Neurospora crassa OR74A: one gene and its partner. The protein of the gene in region 2 interacts with the protein of the main gene of each other region in a pairwise test. Links are inferred from orthologs where the notes say so. Each region holds a gene or a part of one and is shown on either strand. Other genes may lie near its edges. The genes, in order: hda-3 and rcm-1.

Region 1 (4,519 bases), on a different chromosome or scaffold from region 2:
AGTAGTAGTGCCTGTTCAGGCCGTGGATGAGGGCCTGGATGGAAGGCTTGTTGAGATGTCCCAAGTTGGATGTCGTCTGGCGGGGCTCCTGACCCAGCATGAGCGACTGGGGGTTGATGAGACGGAAAGCATCAATCACAACCTTGCCCTTGACGGACTGAATGGGGTCAATAACCACGGCGACCGCACGGGAGTTGAGTTGTTCGAAACTTTGTTGGGTGTTGATATCAACCGACGAAAGCCAGCAGCCAAAACCGGGATGCGAGTGGTACCAGCCAACGACGGCCTCGGGCCTGCGAAGGGAAATACATTAGTGGGTGGTGAAAGGTCAAGTTGAGCTGAGTATCCTCTCACCTTCCCGTTTGCCTGAGCATGTCCATCATGTTCATCTGGAAGACGGGGTCGACAGCCTCTACACTGACACCAGTACCGCTTTGGGGCATGGCAAACACATCGACGACGCGAACGGTAAAGTCATCGACAAACTCGCCCAGCATCAGGCCCATGACTTCCATGGGCACACCAGCGCGACCGTGGCGCAACATCTTGAGGAGGGCTAGGGAGGAAATGTAGACGGTTTCCGAGTTGTCGATGAGGTTGGTGTTGTCCTGACCAGAACCCAGCACATTAGCATCATGCCCTTGTCACCTTCACGCCAGACCAAGCAAGCCTGCGGTTCTGTTGTTCAATTTGCGAATGGGAACAAACATACGGCTCCTGGCGCAGTGGCACCGCCCATTCCCAGGCCGCCGCCCAACAAGCTGCGCATGCGATCCATCTTGAATGTGTTTGTTGGTTGGAGAGTAGTGTATTATGTTGACGTAGCTGTGTGACGGGGGTGTTGGAAATTAATATCGGCGTCGTTCCTCGGGTGTAATGACGTCGCGCAGAAGTATATGGAGGGTTGCGATGCAAACGGTGGCGGTTTCGTTGTAAAGTCGAAGTGGGATGTCGTCGATGACAAGACGGGAGACGGGGCGGTTTGTTGTTTAGGTTGGTGGGTTGAGTACCTCTCTACCTACCTACCGCGTCAGGTTGGAGCATGGAGCATGCAGCACCTATGGGGAGCTTGCCGCAGCTGGCTGGCGGCGGCGTTGACGACAAGCTGTGGCAGCCTGCAACGCCAACTGCCACAAAGTCCACTGCAGGCCAGCCCGGTGACGGAAGGTTCCCTTGAGCTGGAAGCTGTGGATTACATAATCTTATCTGGTTTGCAAATCGGCAGGCAAAGCGGTTGACTTCATAAGTATTGGCGCTTTTTTGGAAGGTTCGACGTTGCCTGCCGACAGGACGTCAGGTGCACAATCCGTTTTCTGATTGGTTACTAAAGTTATTGGAGAATGGAGAACAGCTCAATTATACCCCACTCGCCCGTTGGGGTTGCTGGTGCTTGCGCTTTCTCCCCCGCCTGTCCGCCCACGGCTTCACGCACCGACCTCAGCGTTGTGCCGTGGCTCGTACAAGCAATTCTGCCACTCAGTGACAGACACCCCGGCGTCAGGAACCGAGCTCGAACTAAACACCATCTTTCTTTTCGTTGCTGGCAAGCCATGACGATACCGCCCAGGTGATTTGCCACATCACGGGGATATTTCTATATCATACTTTGTCATTCTATCAATACCACGAAACCTCAACACGTGTTTCCCCCATTCAGCCCGGCGACCCTGAACATTTCCTTTCACGACGGGGTCCTTCCCATCCCAGCGTCTCCCGGTCAGCGATAACTTCTACATACTTGGACGTGATATCCACCACCACAACACACACACACACACCATCCAACCCACAATCCGGATTGTACCGCAATAGTCCTCCGTATCCGCCAACGCAACGCAACACAACACAACGGGCAACCCGGCAACATCTGCCCACCATGCCTTCCACATTCACCGATCCCGCCGGAGTCGCGCGTGACGAGCCGTTGTATACCGTCGTCCACAATGACAAGAAGCGGGTCGCCTACTTCTACGACTCCGACATTGGCAACTATGCCTACGTGACCGGCCATCCTATGAAGCCCCATCGTATCCGTCTTGCCCACAGTCTGGTCATGAACTACAACGTGTACAAGTTTCTCGAGGTCTACGTAAGTTTGCTGTGTTGGGGGTACTGGCCTTGGTCAACGACAAACTGACCCTCTCTGTGTTAGCGTGCAAAACCAGCCGTTACTGCCGAAATGACACAGTTTCACACCGACGAGTACATTGAGTTTTTACAAAAGGTTACCCCCGACAACATGGACGGCTTCATGCGCGAGCAGGGCAAGTACAATGTTGGCGATGACTGTCCCGTTTTCGACGGCCTGTTTGAGTTCTGCGGCATCAGTGCCGGCGGAAGTATGGAGGGTGCCGCTCGCTTGAATAGGGACAAGTGCGACATCGCCATCAACTGGGCCGGTGGTTTGCATCACGCCAAGAAGAGCGAGGCTAGCGGTTTCTGCTATGTCAATGGTATGTGGCCTTCACAATTTCCTGGAACCCGTACGACGCCACCCATGCTTACCTACTACACCGAACAGATATCGTCCTGGCTATCCTAGAGCTCCTGCGTTTCAAGAAGCGCGTTCTTTACATTGACATCGATGTGCACCACGGCGATGGTGTCGAAGAAGCCTTTTACACGACGGATCGCGTCATGACCGTATCCTTCCACAAGTACGGCGAGTACTTCCCCGGTACCGGCGAGTTGCGCGACATTGGTATCGGTTCCGGCAAGAACTATGCCGTCAACTTCCCCCTCCGCGATGGGATTGACGACACCACCTACAGCTCCATCTTCCAGCCCGTCATTAGCGCTGTCATGCAATACTTCCAACCTGAGGCTGTTGTCCTCCAATGCGGTGGTGACAGTTTGTCCGGTGATCGTCTTGGCTGCTTTAACTTGAGCATGCGTGGCCATGCCAACTGCGTTAATTACGTGCGGAGCTTTGGACTACCCACTCTGGTTCTCGGCGGAGGTGGCTACACCATGCGCAACGTCGCAAGGACTTGGGCCTACGAAACCGGCCGTTTGGTTGGTGTTGAGATGAACCCAGTCCTTCCTTACAACGAGTACTACGACGTAAGTGGATTAGTTCCATTATGGCTTGCCGCCTTGCTAACAAACTCTTAGTATTACGGTCCCGACTACGAGCTTGATGTGCGTTCTTCCAATATGGAGAACGCCAACAGCCCAGAGTACCTGGAGAAGATCAAGATATCAGTGATAGAAAACCTGAAGAAGACCGCCCCAGTTCCCTCTGTCCAGATGCAGGACGTTCCGCGTCAGGGCTTCGGTATGTCAGACGATCAGGAAGACGAGCTTGACGACATGGATGAGGACGAGAACAAGGATGTCCGGCGGACACAGCGTCAATGGGAGAAGGAGAGAGCTAGGCAAGACGAGTTTGAAGAAAGTGATGACGAGGACATGGCTCAAGCCAATGGTGTGTTCAAGCCGAACGGACCGCAGCGCCGGTCCATTCTCGACTTCAAGAACCCCAAGGCCGTGGAGGACATGGATCTTGATATTGGAGAACCAGCTCCGCCCTCGATTGCCGCCACCGCCGCCGCGGCCGCCGCTAAGCCAGCGGAGCCTACTGCTGTCGACAACGATGAGACCATGATCGATAACGACGAAGCCCAACCGGCCGCCGCTGAACCTGAAGCCGAAGCCCCCGCAACGACAGCCGCGCAGCCTGCAGTAAGCTCTGCGGCCAAAGTTGACGAAGATGGCGATGTGGATATGGGCGAGGCCGATGAGAAGCCTGCAGAACCTGAGGCGGAGATCAAGACCGAGGAAATCGAGACTGCCCCTGCTCCGGAGCCGGAGGCAGAGCGCAGGCCAAGTCCCGCCGCCGCCACTGCGGAGCCTGCTACCGAGGCAGCAGCAGCAGCAGCAGCCTCTCCCAAGGCCGCCTCGCCGGTACCAGACGCCAACACTGAGAAGCCAGTGGCAGAAGAGCCAAGCAAGGTTGCCGAGGAGGCATCCGACAAGGCACCGGCAGCAACAACAGATGACAAGGAAAAGGAGGCCGATAAGCCTCAAGAATAGGACGCAACCCCCCGAACAAACACTCAGTACGTCTGATAGCTCGGACTAATCGGGCCCTGAGTACGTCGGCAAATTTCAGTTGTGTTATCCCATGAGCATGATTGGCATTGGCGTTTGGGGATTTAGGGGTGTTGTGACGAGGAAAATGTTGTTTTCAATGATTCCCCCACATTACATCCAGGCTCTTTGTTGTTTGTGTTTTTTCTTTCTTTTTTTTTCTTTTTTTTTTTTTCCTTTTCTTTTCTTTTTCCATGTTTCGGAAAAGTTTCTACAAGTTAAGCGTCTAATAAAGGTGACTTTAGCTAAACATGGCTTGCTGATATGTGATTGTGGTTTGGAAGCCAGGGATGTTCACTAAGTGGTGAACGCTTGATTAAACTTGTGCCACTTCCCTCACCCTCGTCTCCTGAAGAGCTTGATTGATCCTGGATCGCCAAAGATGCCCCGGCCTCCACTTCAGACATCGCGTTGTATCATGCGGGGT
Region 2 (4,243 bases):
AGGACCAGAATTGGAAGGGACCACGTTCTGGGGATTAGCGTAGTTCGGGTTCCTCACTCTAGTACCACTACCCCCTTCCCGAGTAGGTTGAGGTCCTTGCTGAAGCTGTTGCTGCGGGTGCGGCTGGTGCGGTTGTTGCGGAGGTGGAGGGGGTGGAGGGGCGTAATGAGCCTGGGGAGGGGTAGGTCCTCTTCTGAGCGGCTCGGGCGCCCTGGCCTCCTGATAAGGCCTCATTTGCTGCTCCTGTCGCGGGCTGGGCTGTCTGGGAAGCGGCGGAGCGGGACCACGAAAGGGCTCCCGGTCTTGACCCGAGGCATATGGGTTCGGCGGCTGGGGAGGAGGGTTAATGTCGGAAATTCTTCCACCCCACGAGTTGGCCCCTTGGCCCGGGCCAGGGCCACCGTTGTGCATCGGCTGAGGCGGTTGATGAGGAGGCTGGCCTGAGCCTGAGCCCGCCCACTGAGGGCCCGGAGGACCAACCGCACCGGATGCATTATACGTCTGGGGGTGGATATCAGTGGGCATCGGGACTGACCCCGGGGGTGCGCCGCCATTAGCTTGCCCACTTCGGAGGAGCTGCAATCTGGTCTTGATATGCGGGTTGTTGGGATCCAGTTCGGCGGCACGTTGATAAGCGTCCAGAGCATCGCTGATCTGGTTGTTGCAAGACTCATACAAAGTGCCAAGGTCATACCAAACTTCAGAAATGAAGGGGTTGAGCCTGATGGCCCTGGAATAGGCGTCCAAGGCGTCACGATACTGGTTGATCTGGTAGTATAACACACCAATCGAGCACCAGAACGTAGGGTTCCTGCCATCCCTATAAACAGCTTGCTGATAAGCCTCGTATGCCTTAGGGTACTTTTGAAGTTGCATGTAACAACGACCGAGCAAGTACCAGCTTTGGGCATCGGTTTGGTCTGGATTATGTCAGTATAGGTGCATGAAGAAGCCAAATGCATCGAAACTTACCAGCTGCAACGGACTGATTCAGGTACTCGATTGCCTTTTCCTGGCTGGCGACTGAATTACTTTGCTGGTGATGCAGCCAGCCCAACTGCTGAAGGACCTTTGCGTGCTTTGGATCACGTTGCAGCACTCGCTCGTAGGCTTGCTTGGCACCATCATACTGCCACAACGTCAGGATTAAGAGTCGAGGAAAGAAGTATAAAATGCAAAGCAGACTTACGTCTTTTTGCTGTTCATGGACGTGACCAATCTGGAACCAGATATCCTCTTCGGTCAAAGGAGTAGGAGGAGAGTTGACAATGTATCTGAAGCACTGTTGACGAGTAAGCTGGCTGTCTCATGCCGATCTTATCAAGACAATGCTGTCGACTTACATCAAGCGATTGCTGGTACTTATGCTGTTGCTTGTAGATTATGCCGAGACGGAAATATATCTCATGAGCCTTGTCGAAGTTGGGGTCCATGGCCATGACCTGCGAGAATGCTTCCTCTGCATGGTCCAAAGAGCCATAGCGATCATAAAGAATACCTATGCCATACCAAAGCCTCGGTTCCTGCAATCAACAGACAGTTAGCCAAACCGTTGTCAATTCTGAAAAGAGGCACCCCAAGAGGTACAAATGCACGCACCTTTGGGTTGGGAAGGTTAACCAAGGCCGCTTGGTACGCAGCATATGCCTGTTGGAGGTCCTCCATCATGAGAAAGCAATGTCCTAGACACCAACAGTTAGGACCCGAATTTATTGAAATATACGTGGCGAATAGGGGGCTGCTTACCGAGGCTGCCCCATGCTTCACCGTTTGCAGGCTCGATCTTTAGGATCCTCTGCAGATATTCCGACGCCTTGGGGAAGTCCTCGCGCGTCCTAAGGACGAGACTGGCGGCATTCATAGCAGTCACAGAGTTGGGGTTGGCTGCAAGAGCCCTTTCATAAGCCTCTAGTGCCTCGTTGTGGTTCCCCATGAGCTCGGACACGGAACCTACCATGATTGCTAAATTAGCATCATACAAAATAGCCTAAAGAGGCAGCCAACAACGGCGTGGGAAGCACATACCGATTCCGATCCACACATTCTCGGTCAAGCTCATAAAGGCCTGCCGCTGTTGATTCCATGAAGGAATCGACGCCGGCGGTGGACCTGGGGGCCCTGGCGGGCCGTGATGCATTTGCATCTGCATCGTAGGGGAAGGGTGGTGGTTTGCCATTTGGGCGATGTTGCAGGAGTAGCGCGTGGATGGCGTGTTGCTCCTCGATGGACTATAGGAAATTGGAAGAGGCGGGGGCGGAAGCCAATGTAGCGCTGCCGACCCAACTTAACAGTAGAGGTAGAATTCAAAGTTTCACAAGGCGATAGCAATACAGCCTTGGTATCCCATGCAGCTGTTCCCGGGGACGCTACGGGGATAGTATGTAGGTACTAGGTAGGTAGCAGGGTGGTGTCAGGGGCCGTTGTCAAGATGCGCAGTCAGTCACGATGACTGTACCAACCAAATTGTTAGGCTTCTGCTCTTTGGGCGGCTGGACCACAACGATACGTGGCGACGGCGTCAGCAATGCAATGGTCGTGACGATGAAGCGCCCGGTTCTTGTGTGTTGTTGGGCGGACGCGATTGTCAAAAACCGAGAAAAGTTGATTGCGAATGAAGGCGACGAGAGGGCGGCAGCCTGTCGCAGCTTCTTATAGTTGGACAAGATGCGCCCAAGCTACCGAGGTCGGAATGGCGACGTCGTGCTCTCTTTTTTGTTCGAGATGGAGATTTGGACGAGACGAGCAATGCGAAAATTATTGCTCGCGGCAATGGCTGGCTGGTGTGAAGGGGGTACACCGGCTGAGTTGGGATGGAATCAGGTCCAAGGTGGTGGTTTGCGCAGAAAGAGTCGTGCGCGATGCAGGCAGCGAAGGCGGCGGGAGACGGGAGAAAAAGAAGGGGAAGGGGGAAGGGCAAAATTGGCTGGGGAAGAGGCGATCTAAAGGCAATGGGGAAGGCGGCCAGGAAGCAGCTCGATTCGCTGAACGGGGAGTTCTGACCACTTTTGCAAACTCCCCTAACCCACGGCGTCGTGTACGTACTTTTGGCTAGGTAAGTTTGGAATTTGCTCCCGGTTCCGCTTGGTGCCGCATGTCATACGGCGCGCCAAGATAAGTGACCCACACGCGCTGCACAAGGCCCTGGCGGCACAGGCAGCCCAGCCCGGTTACGGCTGGCAGGTCGTGGCAGGTTGCGGTACATTGGGGCGGGGCGAGGTGGGCACAGGGGTGCTTCCGTCCACTTCCACTTGGCTGCACCGGGGTCGGGGTGCCTAGTGCCGTGTACCTACCTAGGTACCGATGTACTTGGAGCGACGAGCACGAGCACGAGCCAACTAACGGAACCTACCTCTACCTACTACATAGTAGCTGGACTCTTGACCCTTGTTGCCCGTAGTGCGGTTGGGTTGCCCCTGGCCGAGGCCAAGGAACCACGATGAGAATGTAGAGGCAGAGGTGAGGCAATATGTATCACGCCTAGAGATTATCCAGACATGGTAGGTAGGTATCCAGACAGCCGGCATAGAATGGTAGAGCTACCTATGATTTCCAAGACATCGAAAACAACACGAGTTGGAGTCCTTGCCGCCAACCTAAGTCTGTAGGCAGTAGCATAGTGTACAGTCTCGAGTAGAGTGAGGGGTCTGGGTAAGGGAAGGTGCCCCTGGTCCAAGACCAAGAGAGCAACCTACTCCCACATGCCGTCGAGATGAAGAGGCCCAAGAGCTTCCGAACGAAACTCAGGTCACTACTATGGCCAGCTTGTCTTCAGGCCGTCTATCATATATGTTCCGTCTTGATGTTGGAACTCAGGTTTGCGGCTTTACAGTCTGGGTTCTCACCACTTCTCCCATCATCCGCTACAGCAGTAGGTACGTACACAGGCATCGCGCGAGAGTGCTCGTAGTTTATGTGGTCTGGTCGCAAGATAGATGAGCGGAAGAAGCAATGTAGGGCAAGGACATATGCATCCATGTTGGAAGATATGATGTACTCTCCGCTGCAGTCTAGCCTCCTCCGTGCTTCTGGCCCTTCAAGACCGGAAAACAACGGGACGGAATCTCCCAGCCGCCTTGCATACGCCTACCTCGCATTTTCACTTCGGATGCGTCAAGGGTGAATGTTTTTCACATTTTACGCTTGCATTCATTGACCTGCAACAATGAATCTCAGTATATCCGTACCCAGCATCGGATGTACAAGATCAGACATGCTGATACATGGGCAAATAGGTAAGGTCCAT

Evidence for each region.
Region 1: the proteins of rcm-1 (region 2) and hda-3 interact in binary tests that used the Saccharomyces cerevisiae proteins (3 or more experiments, as listed by UniProt). The link is inferred for Neurospora crassa OR74A from reciprocal best matches to the Saccharomyces cerevisiae genes CYC8 and RPD3.

What each region holds. Positions count from the first base shown.
Region 1 is NC_026501.1:7,046,230-7,050,748, reverse strand, and holds the start of hda-3 (histone deacetylase RPD3), read left to right. Parts: upstream 1-1,432; 5' UTR 1,433-1,876; coding exon 1,877-2,089; intron 2,090-2,152; coding exon 2,153-2,453; intron 2,454-2,521; coding exon 2,522-3,063; intron 3,064-3,114; coding exon 3,115-4,035; 3' UTR 4,036-4,519. Other genes in the region: rpn-11 (26S proteasome regulatory subunit RPN11), read right to left, coding at 1-293, 355-608, 713-778. UniProt on the Saccharomyces cerevisiae protein: Catalytic component of the RPD3 histone deacetylase (HDAC) complexes RPD3C(L) and RPD3C(S) responsible for the deacetylation of lysine residues on the N-terminal part of the core histones (H2A, H2B, H3 and H4).
Region 2 is NC_026502.1:1,788,873-1,793,115, forward strand, and holds the start of rcm-1 (RCM-1, variant), read right to left. Parts: upstream 2,937-4,243; 5' UTR 2,460-2,936; exon of another isoform or gene 2,389-2,459; 5' UTR 2,177-2,388; coding exon 2,026-2,176; intron 1,951-2,025; coding exon 1,747-1,950; intron 1,683-1,746; coding exon 1,600-1,682; intron 1,524-1,599; coding exon 1,344-1,523; intron 1,283-1,343; coding exon 1,190-1,282; intron 1,130-1,189; coding exon 973-1,129; intron 921-972; coding exon 1-920. UniProt on the Saccharomyces cerevisiae protein: Acts as a component of the CYC8-TUP1 corepressor complex which is involved in the repression of many genes in a wide variety of physiological processes including heme-regulated and catabolite repressed genes.